4 linked regions of the Schizosaccharomyces pombe genome follow. The main gene of each other region encodes a partner of the protein of the gene in region 3 in a complex. Each region holds a gene or a part of one and is shown on either strand. Other genes may lie near its edges. The genes, in order: use1, sft1, sec20 and bos1.

Region 1 (3,302 bases), 500 kb from region 3:
TGCATCCTGGCAAGGCCAACATTTCCAAAAACGATCTTCGTGAAAAATTGGGTCAAATGTACAAGACTGATGCAAGTGCTGTCCAGGCATTTGGTCTTCGTACCCATTATGGTGGTGGAAGAACCACTGGTTTTGCATTGATTTACGACGACGTCGAGGCCATGAAGAAGTTTGAGCCCCATTATCGTCTTGTCCGTGTTGGACATGCCGAGCCTATCCAAAAGGTTGCTCGTCAACAACGCAAGCAACGTAAGAACAGAGGCAAGAAGGTCTTTGGTACTGGCAAGCGTCTTGCCAAGCGCAAGTCTAAGCAACAAGACTAGGCAATCTTATTTTTTCTTGGTTCAGAAAAATAATTTTCATAAAGTAATGAGATGTATTCACTTGATGGAAATGCATTGTTGTATTCGAACGGATTTAATTACGTGTTGCCTAAAATAATATTGTTCAGCTTTCGTGTGAACAGTAGTGAATGAAGTAAATAATCTTCAATAACTAGAGTTTGATCTCTAATATAATAATTTTTGAACATGCGGTATATGTTGTATTTTATGATAGTTTAATAGTTTTGTAATGTAATGATGTTGTTTCTTATTTACTAAAAACATAAGAGTTGAGGGCAGTGTCAATTGATAAAGGAATGGGCTAATATTGACTCAGCTGTTGGAAAAAGGTTAAATGAAATAAAACAATGGTAAATTGCGTATGCTTTGGTTATTCAATTTACTTATATCATCTACGCATTGATCTCAAATACAAAAAAAACATGAATACGTTCGAGTAAGAAAACAACTTGAAACAACAATAATGGTTGTGTATCAAAATGTATATTAAAAAGAAACGGGTGTACTGTTACCACTGCGATAACTTAAGGGGAAAAAAATTTATCAACAAAAGGAAGCAGTCCGAGAATTCTTTACGAAAATAAAATAATTAATTTTGATTTTTGGTAAACTGTAGGATAAAGATCATCACGATAAAAGAAACAACTACAGCAATGATCATTCCTAACTGTAGCCAAAAAGACAGCCTTTTTGACTTAGAGTAGCTTTGAACACCGTGGTTGGCATGTCTCAGACTGTGGGCATTCTTGTCGAGTAAGCTTCCTGTACGCTCTACCACTTGATTATCAGTTACTAGAGCATTTGTGAAAGATAAAGCGTTTTCTTTTAGAACAGATGCCAAATGCAAAAGTGACTCAGATATCTCAGTTTGCATTGAACGCTGGTTTGTGAGCAATTGGGCATTGGAAGCTTCGACATTCGACATCTGTTGTCGCTCTCTAAGCTCCCTTTCTTGAATACTCTGAAGAGCATGCGCGATCTCCTTCTCTTGTTTACTTTTTATCTTTTTCTCTTCAATTTTCAGCTTTTTTTCCATGGTAACATTTAAATCATAAATCCTACCCTGTAAATCCATGATTCTCTTCGAAAGCCCTTGAGGTTCAGCAACTTTGTCAAGTTGGCATTTTCCTTCTTCCCATAATAATTTCCTTGCATAATCAAGATTCTTTTCAAATTTTAAAAGTTCCAATGGGTCTTGAAACTCATCACGTTTCAACTTGAATTGTCGCTCCAACCTACTGATCAAATCTTTACTCATTTTAAAGCCTATGGAGTGAGCATTTCATAAGAATATCTCTCTCCTATAAAGAAAGTTATGTAAAGCGCTTTAAACTGGGGTTCCTGATATTTTATAAGTAGTTTGAGTTGAGTAGGTTATCAGGTGCATGTCATCTTATACACATACTAATTTTCACCTTGTATGAGTATTTTGGGTTTCAGAGTAGACGATTATAGTATTTTATATATTATTCATTTATAAGGATGTACTAACATTTAATTAAAACCGTATTTCTCTTTGAATACGTATTTTTGTACCAAGTGCCTTGACTATAAAATGCTATTTTAATCTCAATCTAATGAAGTATGAGAAGCTTAATAATCCTTATGTTAAAAGAATTGCATGAACCGTAATGCCTTAACTTAAAGGTGTCAATAAACATTAGCGTATTTACCTTACTATATATTTCAAGTCATGGAGGATATATGTTGTAAATAAACTTGACAGAATCTTTAAAAACGCAAGGATCTTGAGTTGCATTCCTTGCCATTGCATTGGCAAATTTTGAAATAACACTTATAGTACGCAAAGACGACCAGGCTGCCTTCGTGTTAGATTTTTGATAAAGCGATCTTTCTTCTTATTTAAATAAGCACTGCTAAAGACTACATACCTTGTAACTCCATTTGTCGTTATTTCAATTTATTCAGACCGGATGTTTTCCTGAATTGAAAATTAAACAAAATTGCAGTCTAACTCTTTAATTATTTGATCAGAGGATTTGTGATTTCTTTAGAATCTCTCATAATTTTATTTTAAACAACTTAATTTATTAAATTTCTAATGTTTGTTTATTCTGTGTTTAGCATTCCACCAGGTTAACCAGTTGTCTACTCTTCTAACAGTGATAATTCTTACCGTCAGGCGAATTCAGCACCTTTGCAAGAGCAAGCTCTGTGTAATAATAATTTATAAACTTTAGCTACTTTTAATTATATAGCCACTGAAAAGGCTTCAATTGCCTGAAATTCTCGTCTAAAAATCAAGTTCAGAGGGATTACTATGCAAAATGGTAAAAGACGTATTGGAGTCCGAATTTCTTCCAATTTGAGCAATCATTCCGGGACTAATCTTTCTACTAGTGCTCAAAGTGATTCTTCAAATATCGTTAAAGCCACTGAATGCCCAATTTGTGGGCTGGAATTACCAAATTTGTCAGCATTAAATGATCATCTCGATGTTACTCATTTCAATGATAATGAAAAAATCCACAAGCGACAAGATTCCATTAATTCATGGCTAACAAGGACTTTAAATGGTGCTTCAGCTCTGCAAATGAAAGCCGCTCAACGTCTTTGGAGAATGGAACCATATGAACAGAATGGGGATTCATCAGGTGCTGTCGGCCTTGAAGCAACTAAGCTCACAGATTCCTTGGTTGTCAAAAATCACTGGCAACCAGAGGTTCCTGACATGGTCTGCCATGACCCGATGTGTGATAAGCTTTTAAATTTCATCAATGGTCATATTCATTGTCGTAAATGCGGTTATATCTTCTGCAACTTTCACTCAATGTACCAGATCAAACTCAGTATTCATGCTACCTACGACTCTGAAAATGGATTTTGGTGTCGTGTTTGTCGAGAATGTTATGAAGGACGTCCTGGGTATAATGATTCAAATGGTTTAATTCGCTCACGTTTTCAAACATTCGAAACTTTTCGAAAACCTTTAGCTGA
Region 2 (2,849 bases), 3.7 Mb from region 3:
CCATCTCACAGTAGTGCTTCTTTAGCTCATCTTTCTCAAGCCTCCAATCCAAATGGATCGTCTTCTGCCCCGCATAGGCCCACATCAGCTCGTGTAGGAAGTCACCGAAACGCACTAGACGCTTTAAGACGGGCGCGTATGCTTCCATCTGGATTTTCAAGAAGAAATTGAAGTTTTGAGCACTATTTTTAAATTTTTGCGCAAACATCGGAAAAAGAGTATTCATTACCTGTACTTCCGTACATTTGAATGCTGTGTTCTTAAAAAAGCCTAAATCAATACAAACATCTCATGGTCTGCATGCACAAAGCTTGAACGTGAAGCTAAGGTGTTAAAATTTTTATTATTATTTATTTTTGTGCCCTTCCTTTTGATCTTTTTTTTTTTTTTTTTGCCGGTTGAAGGTGAATGAATACTTAGTTTGTGGCACAATGTCATGATTCTATTCAATTAGTACTGCGTCTCTTTGCTTAAAACTCTTTCCTAAAAGTGAGGAATATCAAGCTTAATATGGATATACAGTCATAATTAAATTTTTTATTATTTTTACTTTTATGGTGGACTTATTGAAATTTCGAGGAAGGAGTAGTATTTCGTTAAGAATATTTCATGTAATTCTGCGCTTATATTTTCAAATTTATCTTCAGAATATTCATCGATAAATTTATTGCCTATAAGAATTCAAAGCTTGTACATTTTATAATTTTGAAGCAGGAGGTTATGTCATTATATCCGTTCCTTTATGTAGCATTCGCTTTCATGTCGTGTTAAAAAAACCATTTGGATGCATAGTAGATTATTAGTATACTCCCTACGATTGCCAGCACCATTGTCATGATTCTTCGTCGTCCGGCACTTCGAACCACACGGAAGAAATTTTCGGTGGATTTTTTAACAGAATTTGAAAGTCCTGAAAAGCTTTCAGTCTATAATAATACAGGTTAGGTAAAAACTCAAATTTTTTTTTTTAAATTACATACAGCCCGATCAATTCGAGTATAGTCATTGGCACGGGAATAAATATCGTAGGTTACGTTTTTCAAAGAAGAAACCTGCCCAGACAGAGTTTCCAAACGCCGCTCATTTTGATCATTCATTATAGAAATAACTTTTACAAAAATGAATGTACATACGTTAGCATCTTTCTATATCACTTGGAGTACTACCAAAATTTAACGACATTTAGGACGTGGTGATAAATCCTTTAACGAATCTCCTAACTTGATTCTATTTTCGTCGAGCTCAAACATAATGTTATCTACAATTCTTAGCATCAGCCGCCTAATTATTGCTTTATCAAATGCCAATATCGATCGGACTACTTATTAGTAGGTAAATGGTTTGGAAGTTCATCGTTTCCATCCATTTTTAATGAGCAGTAGGATCCGTTCTTTAACATCTGAGTTATTTGAGGAATTGCTATTCATCGCTAAGTCAAAACATATAATATATTTGTATAGGTACTCGCTACCAAAATATTTGGATCCATTACTGTTTCCTGTTTCCAAGTAAAAGGGTTTATTTATCCGCTGCGTTTTAGACTCAGGACACACTATCTTTCTGCAATACTTTTGAACCTGAATTCATTCAATAAATTGAATTCGACATCATATAATATAAATTTTTATTTTTTACGTTTGAATTGGATTTTTTGTTTATAATTGCATTGTTTTAAGAGATTAATAATTCATTTATTGTTCTCATGAGTGTTCGGAAACGGTACAAGGTTACTTATGTTCTTGATTCCTGTAACGATCAACTAGGGCACCGTTTGGATGCTAATTGTCTAGTGCTAGGTCGGTACTTTTCAGAACAAGGGTCAGCACCAGTTACTAGAGCACTTTACAGTGGTGGCCGAGATGGACAGCTTTTCGGTTGGGACATCGGGTATGATTATGGTAAAGCTTCCCAGCCCTTAGCCAAAATCCAGGCTCATTCTGCTTGGGTAAATGATATAGCTTTAACACATGATTCCGAAGGAGGTAAGCCTTTGAAAAATTTAATTATCTCTGGAGAATAGCGGTAGCCTTATAGAAATTGACGTTCTAACATTTATTAGTGATATCTTGTTCTTCTGATTCAACGGTGAAACTCTGGAAGCCACATGTCTTGAATGCTTCTTGTTTATCAACAATTGGCGAGCATACCGACTACGTAAAGCGCGTAAGCATTCCCAAATATTCCAAGAGTCCGTTAGTCGCTTCGGGTGGGTTGGATAAAAGGATAATTGTATGGGACTACAACGTAGGTCAAGAAGTTATGCGATTTGAACAGTTACCTGACTGTTCTCTTGTTGTTGGTCCAAGATCTGGTGTTTACTCGCTGGCAGCGAATAACAACATAATTGCTAACGGCGGACTACAAAAAGACATTCAGTTATGGGATTGTGTTTCCAAGAAAAGGATTACAGATTTAGTCGGTCATACTGACAATGTTCGAGATATTCTAATTAGTGATGATGGCAGAACAATTCTCACAGCCTCTTCAGACGCTACAATAAAGCTTTGGTCTCTAAGGGCGCAAAAATGTTTATTCTCTTTCATAGCTCATTCAGACAGTGTATGGGCATTATATTCTGAGCACCCAGATTTAAAAGTATTTTATGCTGGTGATCGCTCAGGCTTGATTACTCGTACTGATATAAGAAACCAGCCTAACAACCAAAGCTGTACTGCAATATGCAAGCAGGATGCTCCTGTCTCTGACATTGTTGCTCGTCAATCTTTCATATGGAGTACTAGTCGTGATGGCTCCATTCTTCGTTGGAAGGATGAGCCCCTCTTTAATCAGGACGTGGGAGCAGCATTATCTAAGCATACCTCATCTCATCTTTCTGTATCATCGGACTG
Region 3 (3,410 bases):
TATATACAAATGATAGCGAAGCTGAACGTCATCGTTAATCTCTTCTATTAGGATATCTAAGCCAGTACACTGTCATTTTGGTTCCTAAAGGGCACGCGATTTGTGCAGACAAAGAAGTTTGGTCAATCTTAACAGCAATAAACACCCAAATGATAATATCGCACGTGAAGAAGCGACTGACTACATGTGAGACGATTTTCAATGAATGAACATTGTGGGGAAAGGATCTGGGGAATTCCCTTCCAATCGTAACATCTTGTTGACAGTGATTCGTTCGACTAGCCAAAGGTAGCGTAATGCACTGTAAGATTATTGGGTATTATTTTGCTTATCAATGTTGATTGGTTTTTGTTATTTAACGTTATAATAATATTTACGCAATTGGATCTGGTTTCCTATTTTACATAAGGATACACTAGCAATCCTAAAACGAAGCCACAGCATCGTTGGTTTGCTATATTTACGATTACTGTGTGGGTGTGGGGTATGGTATGGATATGGATATGAATCATTAAGATTAAGGACCAGTTATTTACTAGTGGAAGATATGAATAGGGTGGATGTAAATTTATCATTATTATTTTTAACGGTAAAATGATTTTCTTAAAGAGACCTACAAAACTTTCTTTACATGATTGGTGCAACGCATGCTTTTCTTTATTTTTTTTCCTTTGTCCACACTCAACTGAGAGGGTAATTTCTATCAAAATTTTTAGTACCAAGGCCAACGCACTGTCTTAGTTCGCTGTAAATGAATTGCGTAACTCAAGAACTCTTTAACAAAAATTGCACGGCGCTAAAGTATTTTTACGATGCTCATTCCTCCTTCCAATGCTTGACTGACTCATATCTGCCTAATAGCGATTTTTAAGACCTTCTGTTTTCCAGCTGACTCCAATATATCCAATTCAGATATGAACAAAAAATCAATTCTCAAAAAGCCGAAAAATGCTCAAAGCACTCAAGAAAAGCAATTGATCACGTGGTCGAAGAGTCTTATAGATGAAGCACGCAGTCGACTTCAGTATGATTTTTTTGCCCTCGAATGGATTGAAAAGCTGGTTGATCCGGTTTCCCTAGAAACTTTAGAGGAAGCTCGTAAATACCTTCGAAAAAGTGATTACGATCAAGTGGTGAAGGAGCGTAAACTCGTCAATCTGTGCGGTTATCCCGTTTGTCCTTATGAACCTAAGCAGCAAACTAGGTATAAATTAGAAGATTCAGGAATGAAGGTCTACGGTGGACTCAACTATTATTGCTCGAAGGATTGCTTTCTAAAAAGTTGTCAATATATGGTTGAGTTGAGCGACGAACCATTATGGATACGTGAAGATGCTCGCGAAGCTATGAAACAACATCTCGATCCTCGTCAAGATGAAGCATTTCGTAAAGAGTTGGAAAACAAAAAAATTGAAGATGTACGCTTACTCCTGCAAGCGTTGCCTGTGGGTTATAAGGCAAAAGTTGGTGAAATCGTTGAACATCCTTTGGCTAATGAACAATCATAAAGCAAATGGAAGTTTATCAAATTTTTTCTTTTCACCCCAGAATATGTATAATATTTTTGAACAAAAAAGACACCGACTTGTGTCTAGCGTCGTTTGAACTAGAATGAAAGGTTGCTTCATTCTACAGTTGCGTGCATAGTAACATTTCTGTGGTTTTCGACTTTTTATTAAAGATCGATACAATATTCCCTTTACCATTTACACTTTCTAATTTATTTCACCTTATTGCCTTCTATCTTTATTGTCTCTTTCTCTCTCTTAGCATCTTTATTTCTCGTTATTTATAATTCCGCATTTGATTTCTTTTCCTTATTCTATATACCGAACCTTTCGATGTATAGTCTTATATTCACCTTCAGCTGTGCTATATTGTTAGTGCATCCATCATTCGTTTCCCACTCATCATCATTTACCTTTATCGTTCTTTCCTCTTGCATCTCATAATACTATTTCTCCTTTAACTTGTTCAATAAAGCAGAGAACATAGCATTCGATGGCCGACGTTCTGAATGCACTAGAAGAAAAAGTTGTTGAATTACAACAGTCAGAAAGCGTTGAAGTTATTAAAAGGCATTTTCGAGAGTTTAGAAAAATATGGGAAACTGCAAGGGTAGAGCTTGAATACTCATCCATTCAGCTAGACTCAGTTCTACGATATGAAAAGGCTGTACAAGAATACATTCGGTTGAACAGAAGATATCGGAATAAGATTGCTAGTGGTGAACCATGGTTGCCTATCGCACAAGAAATAGGTAAGATTGTAGATGAAGAGGAAATTACCTCACCAAGTGATGGTTCTCTTCAAAAGCGTTCAATGGATAACTCTGGTTCGTGGCAATCTGATGATATTTATCTTACAAGCGCCAGTCAGGTCACGGCGGCTATGCGTGATATTCACGCACAAATGGTACAGGCAGTGGATATGAGTGCCGAAAATGCAATGGAGTTGTCTTCGAGTACCAACTTGTTAGAAACTCTACAAGAGAAATATTTTGGTGTAGAGGACGTTTTATATACAAGTAAACGGATAATCAAATCGCTCAAATTAAGTGATCGAAGTGATTACTTTTTAGTCGTCTCGGGATTTGGGTTCTTCATATTTGTGGTTGTCTATCTTCTCTTCAAGCGAATTGTCTGGCCTATTCTTTCTATGTTTCTTTGGTTTCTTCGGTGAGATTTTGAAAATGCATTGTTTATTAAAAAGAAAGGCGAGATTAAAAGCAAGGCTTTTTGAGGCTCGTTCCCATCGAGCTCGAAGTATCTATACGAGAAATTATTTTTTCGCCCTTTTTCTCAATTTTATTTTGAAAAAGTCTTTGTAAAGTAGTTCTTATGTTTTAATGTTTATCTTATACGATTGGTTTTTATTTACGTGTTGTTCTCTTTAAATAAAAACGTTGAATGGCGTAGAAGTTTGCTGATGATAGTAATGCTATAGTATTTGTAACTCAATGGGAAACGCCATTCCGTAAACAAAATGAGTTCTTGCTCACGAAATATGCGACAGTCGGCATGCAGCTGCATTTCAAATCATTCTTATTGTATATGCCTCTTTGATTGTCAAAACCATTTGTTTGACCACAGTACAAAAAGAGCAGTATTCTTTGAATTCCTAATAAAAACTAGAGCGCTTGTTAATTGGGAAACGCATCTTGTTAAGTCTGTCGCATATTTTCTAGGGTCCGGTACGAACGCCTAGAATCTGAGATCGGATAGCAAACTCCATTAAACCTATAAACTTAAAACTAATAACTGCTTATGTAAAAATTCATTAACCAAACGTTCTAATTATTCAGTGTCCTGGTTCTATTTGTTTGTGTGCTTTCTACTTCAAATGCGTAATATAGTGTTTACAAGCACGTAAGCATAACGATATAAATTAAGGCACATGCCCCGCGATGT
Region 4 (3,907 bases), 2.2 Mb from region 3:
TGACTTGAATCTAACTTTTACTAATATTAATTTAGGCCAATTCGTCCTCACGCCTGAGCCATCTAGTAATACATTCTATGCCCCCTCTTCGCCTGCTTCTGCAGTGAGAAGAGAGCCACTTTCTCCAATGTCTTTTGTACGGATGCGTTCACATCGCGTTAATAAAATTGGCCGTTCTAGTCAACAATGTGACCATGTCCTATCCACGGTTGATAAAGCAATTTCTCGTGTACATGCTATTGTAACTTGTACACAAGACCGCATGATTATTGAGTGCGTGGGTTGGAATGGGATGATTGTGTCTGATAAAATGAGGAAGTCAGTATTCCACATGAAGAAAAATGATCGGATTGTCCTGGTAAGACCGAATTCGGATGCTTGTCCTGTACTGGATGTATTCGGTTACCGAGTTCTTCTTGGTTGGCCAAGTGATTCTGAAGATGAATGGGAAGGAAATCTTAATGCTAAAAATTATGAAGAAAATCGTGAACCTATGTCTCCTTCACCTCAAGAAGCTTTACCTTTGATGCCTTCATCACCTCCTTCTCAAGACTATCAAAACGATCAGAATCATCTCATATTGTACACTAATTCCGAATCCATTCCTAAGCTAAACTTGCGTAGTAACGAATTAGTATATCCTCCTCCATCCAAAGATTTGTTACAAAAGCTTCTTGCCTTAGAAAAAGATGGTCAGGTGGAAAAGTCTGATTGTTCCAAAAATACACAATTAAAACCATCTTTTCTCCCAAAGAACACCGACGATTTACTCAATGGCACTGATGATAATAACATCGTTTTAAGAGAAGTTAAGGTTTCTTTTGAGAACGAAAAAATCGAGAGTGATGATCTTGATAAAAATGAGGAAATTAGTGAAGGTGAAGAATACACTCCAATTGAAGAGTCAAAAGAGCCTATAACAGTAAGACGGGATAGCGTTATACAAATTGATGAATCGTCCGCTGGACTAACGGACGTTATCTCTGAACTTAATTTTACAAACCATAATGATGACTCAAAGAATTCTAATATTACAACTTCAAATGATTCCCCAGTGAACGAAGTTGAGCCAATGGCTCCTGAATTGAGTTCAGCAGTTGTGGAAAAGAAGGAACCTGAAGACTACGAAAGCATCTCTGCTGTTGATGAGAACACTAATGACAGTAATGAATCCCTCCCTTCTAGCCATGATTACTCAGAATCAACAAAAGAAAATTCAGCTCCCGATAGCTTATTATTAGGATTGGTTTTAGATGAATTGGTTTTCTCAACAACTTCAACTACTCCCCTTCCTGCACTTTCGCATTTATTTCCTTCCAATATGCCACTTCAATTAATTCAGGACAAGCTTCGAGACTTGGCAGCCAAGCACCCCTACTTTGAAGAGGTTAAACGTTACGGAACTGATGCTAATGGTGATCCATTGTGGAGTGAATGGTTTTATAACCCAGATGTGGATGATGATTTAGAACGGCGTATGAGATATGCTCCATTAATGAGACCAGTAAGATCCTCACGTCGTGTACATAAACAATATTATTGGAAAAAGCCCCGAGCTCGTCCACGTTCATCGGGACATTCTTCTAGGCGTCGTCGTCTTTCATAACGAATTGAATGCTGGCATCAGACACGACCCCTATAAAATTTCGCTTTTTGATATTGTATACATTTCGTTATTACGAATGGAATTATTAGATTTTTCAAATGGGGTTCAACAAAATACAATTGAACTCAATAGTGATTTACATTTAATATGAATTTTGGGTAAAAAAACGCATTCTTTTTTATAAAACTGTATTTACAATGTATAGAAATAAATTGCTACTTTAAGCTATTTACAATTTTGATATAGCATTCAAGTAACGTGTTACTTGCTACATGTGTTGTCATATCAAAGACAAGAAAATAAATTACCCTCATATTGGAACCAACTACGGCAAGAGAATGAGCAATACTCTTTATAATCACGTATGTAACTTCCTAAAGTTTTAGAAAACATATTAATTTGTATTTCGCTAGTGTACAAAGTTGTTTCAGTCCATTCAGCGAAGCCTCGATGAGTTAGAACGTGGTGTTCAAGATGAGAGCAACACTATATCGTTAGCTGGAATTCAGGGTATGTGTAGATGAATAATTATGGTACTTATTTTAACCAAGTTATTCATGAGACTAATGCAAATCAATTTAGGCCAGATCTCAGCTTCATTTCTGTCATTATCCAGATCCATTGATGACTACGATAGTATGGTCCAAAGGGAATTGGTTCCCGCTAAAAAAAAAAAAGCTACAATACGAATCCAAGAGTTCCGTCAAAAGCATGTTCAGTTGTTGGAAAAATTTGATGAGTTGAAGGCACACGTTCGTGACATTGCGCAAGCAAAAAATAGAAAAGAATTGTTAGGGAGGCGTGGGTATGTGAACTCTCTTGATAGTCCCTACGGAAATTCAACAACGGATGCAGAAATTGTGGAAGGGCCATCAGATCTAAGCAGACAAGATGGTTTATTAAAGGAGCATGATTTCCTTGGTCGTGCAGAATCTCAAGTTGACGAATTTCTAGAACGTGGGCGGATGATTCTTGGTGATTTAGTTGAGCAGGGAAGCGTTTTAAAAGCTACTAAGACAAAAGTACTGAATGCCGCCAATACCCTTGGCATTACTCGCCATACTCTATCTTTAATCAACCGTAGGTCCAAACAAGACAAGATTATATTTTATTGTGGAGCATTCCTTGTATTTGTCCTCTTTTACTTGATTTACAGGTGGTTACGCTAACATGTTCATGTCGTTGGCTTGTTTAAATTTACTATTCTTATATGATATGGGGCAGTACAACAAAATCAAAGATGATTAAAAAATTTGAAGAGCTTCTTGAGAGTTAAATTTTTTATTAATTATTTTTAAAAATAAGCTATACATTTTGCACTTGTTAGCTTCTCCTTGCAAGCTATTACTGTTGTGTTTTTTTCCTTCTGTTTATGACATTCCACTAATCACGCACTTATGGGCCTTTTAAATCTAATTCTTTCTTTGTGTTTTTTTAAATCCTTAGTTTGTCAATCAATTAATACCGTTGCGGTAATGCTTGACTAAAACACCTTCTCTTCAGGCGGTTGCTTTGAAATGCTTCAATTGTGATTCCATTTCATTTTATTTTAATATCCAAGAGAAAATTAACTTACCAATGGGCAATAGTTTTTTTTCCTTAGTTTCTTCGTAATTTGCTCAGTTAAGCTATGTATTAAAAATAATAAAATAGACTAAAACTAATTGTCATCACGAACCGTTAGTTGACGACTGTTTTACACTATTTTTATTGTCAACCGTTTTCAATGCAACTTAAGAATTTGTCGAAAGCCAATTGAAATTTGTATTCATATATATTAATTTTGTACCATATATATTGTAATAACTGTATTGGATGAAGTTAACTTTTACTAAAGAAACTCGAGACACGTTTGTTAAAATTAATATCGTTAGCGATTATCCTTTCGTATACCATAATACACCAAACTATCCTCCATTCTCATCTTTTTAAATATCTAGCGCCAATATTTAGTAATTCCTATAAGAATTATTTAATGTTTTTAAATAAGTATATATCAAACTATTCCAGAACCAGGGCTGTGAGCTGCGCTCCAGTTCTATCATACAAGAAATGTAGTTATCGAAATTTCAATGGTTTATTACAGGCAAGATTTCAAAGCAACAACTTGAGTTGGTCCAATAGAAACAGAGTGGTATATAAATCATTTCAGCCCAATCCTAGAGACAAGAGGTTTCAATGGATTTTTGGTGCTCTTATTGCAGGAGGAGGTGTATACTATTTTACACATTTGGAATACGTTCCTATAAGTAACCGTCGAAGGTTTAATGATGTTTCTTTAGATTTTGAAAAGCGAATGGC

What was found.
Region 1: sec20 (region 3) and use1 share a complex: the UniProt entries of both Schizosaccharomyces pombe proteins name them as parts of the SNARE complex.
Region 2: sec20 (region 3) and sft1 share a complex: the UniProt entries of both Schizosaccharomyces pombe proteins name them as parts of the SNARE complex.
Region 4: sec20 (region 3) and bos1 share a complex: the UniProt entries of both Schizosaccharomyces pombe proteins name them as parts of the SNARE complex.

Annotation. Positions count from the first base shown.
Region 1 is NC_003424.3:3,599,254-3,602,555, forward strand, and holds use1 (SNARE protein Use1), read right to left. Parts: upstream 1,712-3,302; 5' UTR 1,603-1,711; coding exon 934-1,602; 3' UTR 576-933; downstream 1-575. Other genes in the region: rps2401 (40S ribosomal protein eS24), read left to right, coding at 1-323; FYVE tethering component Pep7, read left to right, coding at 2,626-3,302. UniProt on the Schizosaccharomyces pombe protein: SNARE required for targeting and fusion of Golgi-derived retrograde transport vesicles with the ER.
Region 2 is NC_003424.3:413,704-416,552, forward strand, and holds sft1 (SNARE protein Sft1), read right to left. Parts: upstream 1,137-2,849; 5' UTR 1,098-1,136; coding exon 981-1,097; intron 927-980; coding exon 768-926; 3' UTR 542-767; downstream 1-541. Other genes in the region: rod1 (arrestin/PY protein 1), read left to right, coding at 1-171; bun107 (WD repeat-containing protein), read left to right, coding at 1,703-1,982, 2,060-2,849. UniProt on the Schizosaccharomyces pombe protein: Vesicle SNARE required for retrograde transport within the Golgi complex.
Region 3 is NC_003424.3:4,103,214-4,106,623, reverse strand, and holds sec20 (SNARE protein Sec20), read left to right. Parts: upstream 1-1,905; 5' UTR 1,906-2,001; coding exon 2,002-2,682; 3' UTR 2,683-2,891; downstream 2,892-3,410. Other genes in the region: RNA polymerase II CTD phosphatase Rtr1, read left to right, coding at 915-1,508. UniProt on the Schizosaccharomyces pombe protein: SNARE required for targeting and fusion of Golgi-derived retrograde transport vesicles with the ER.
Region 4 is NC_003424.3:1,923,158-1,927,064, forward strand, and holds bos1 (SNARE protein Bos1), read left to right. Parts: upstream 1-1,923; 5' UTR 1,924-1,944; coding exon 1,945-1,968; intron 1,969-2,009; exon of another isoform or gene 2,010-2,019; coding exon 2,020-2,116; exon of another isoform or gene 2,117-2,188; coding exon 2,189-2,775; 3' UTR 2,776-3,382; downstream 3,383-3,907. Other genes in the region: tos4 (transcription factor), read left to right, coding at 36-1,606; metallopeptidase Oma1, read left to right, coding at 3,582-3,907. UniProt on the Schizosaccharomyces pombe protein: SNARE required for targeting and fusion of ER-derived transport vesicles with the Golgi complex.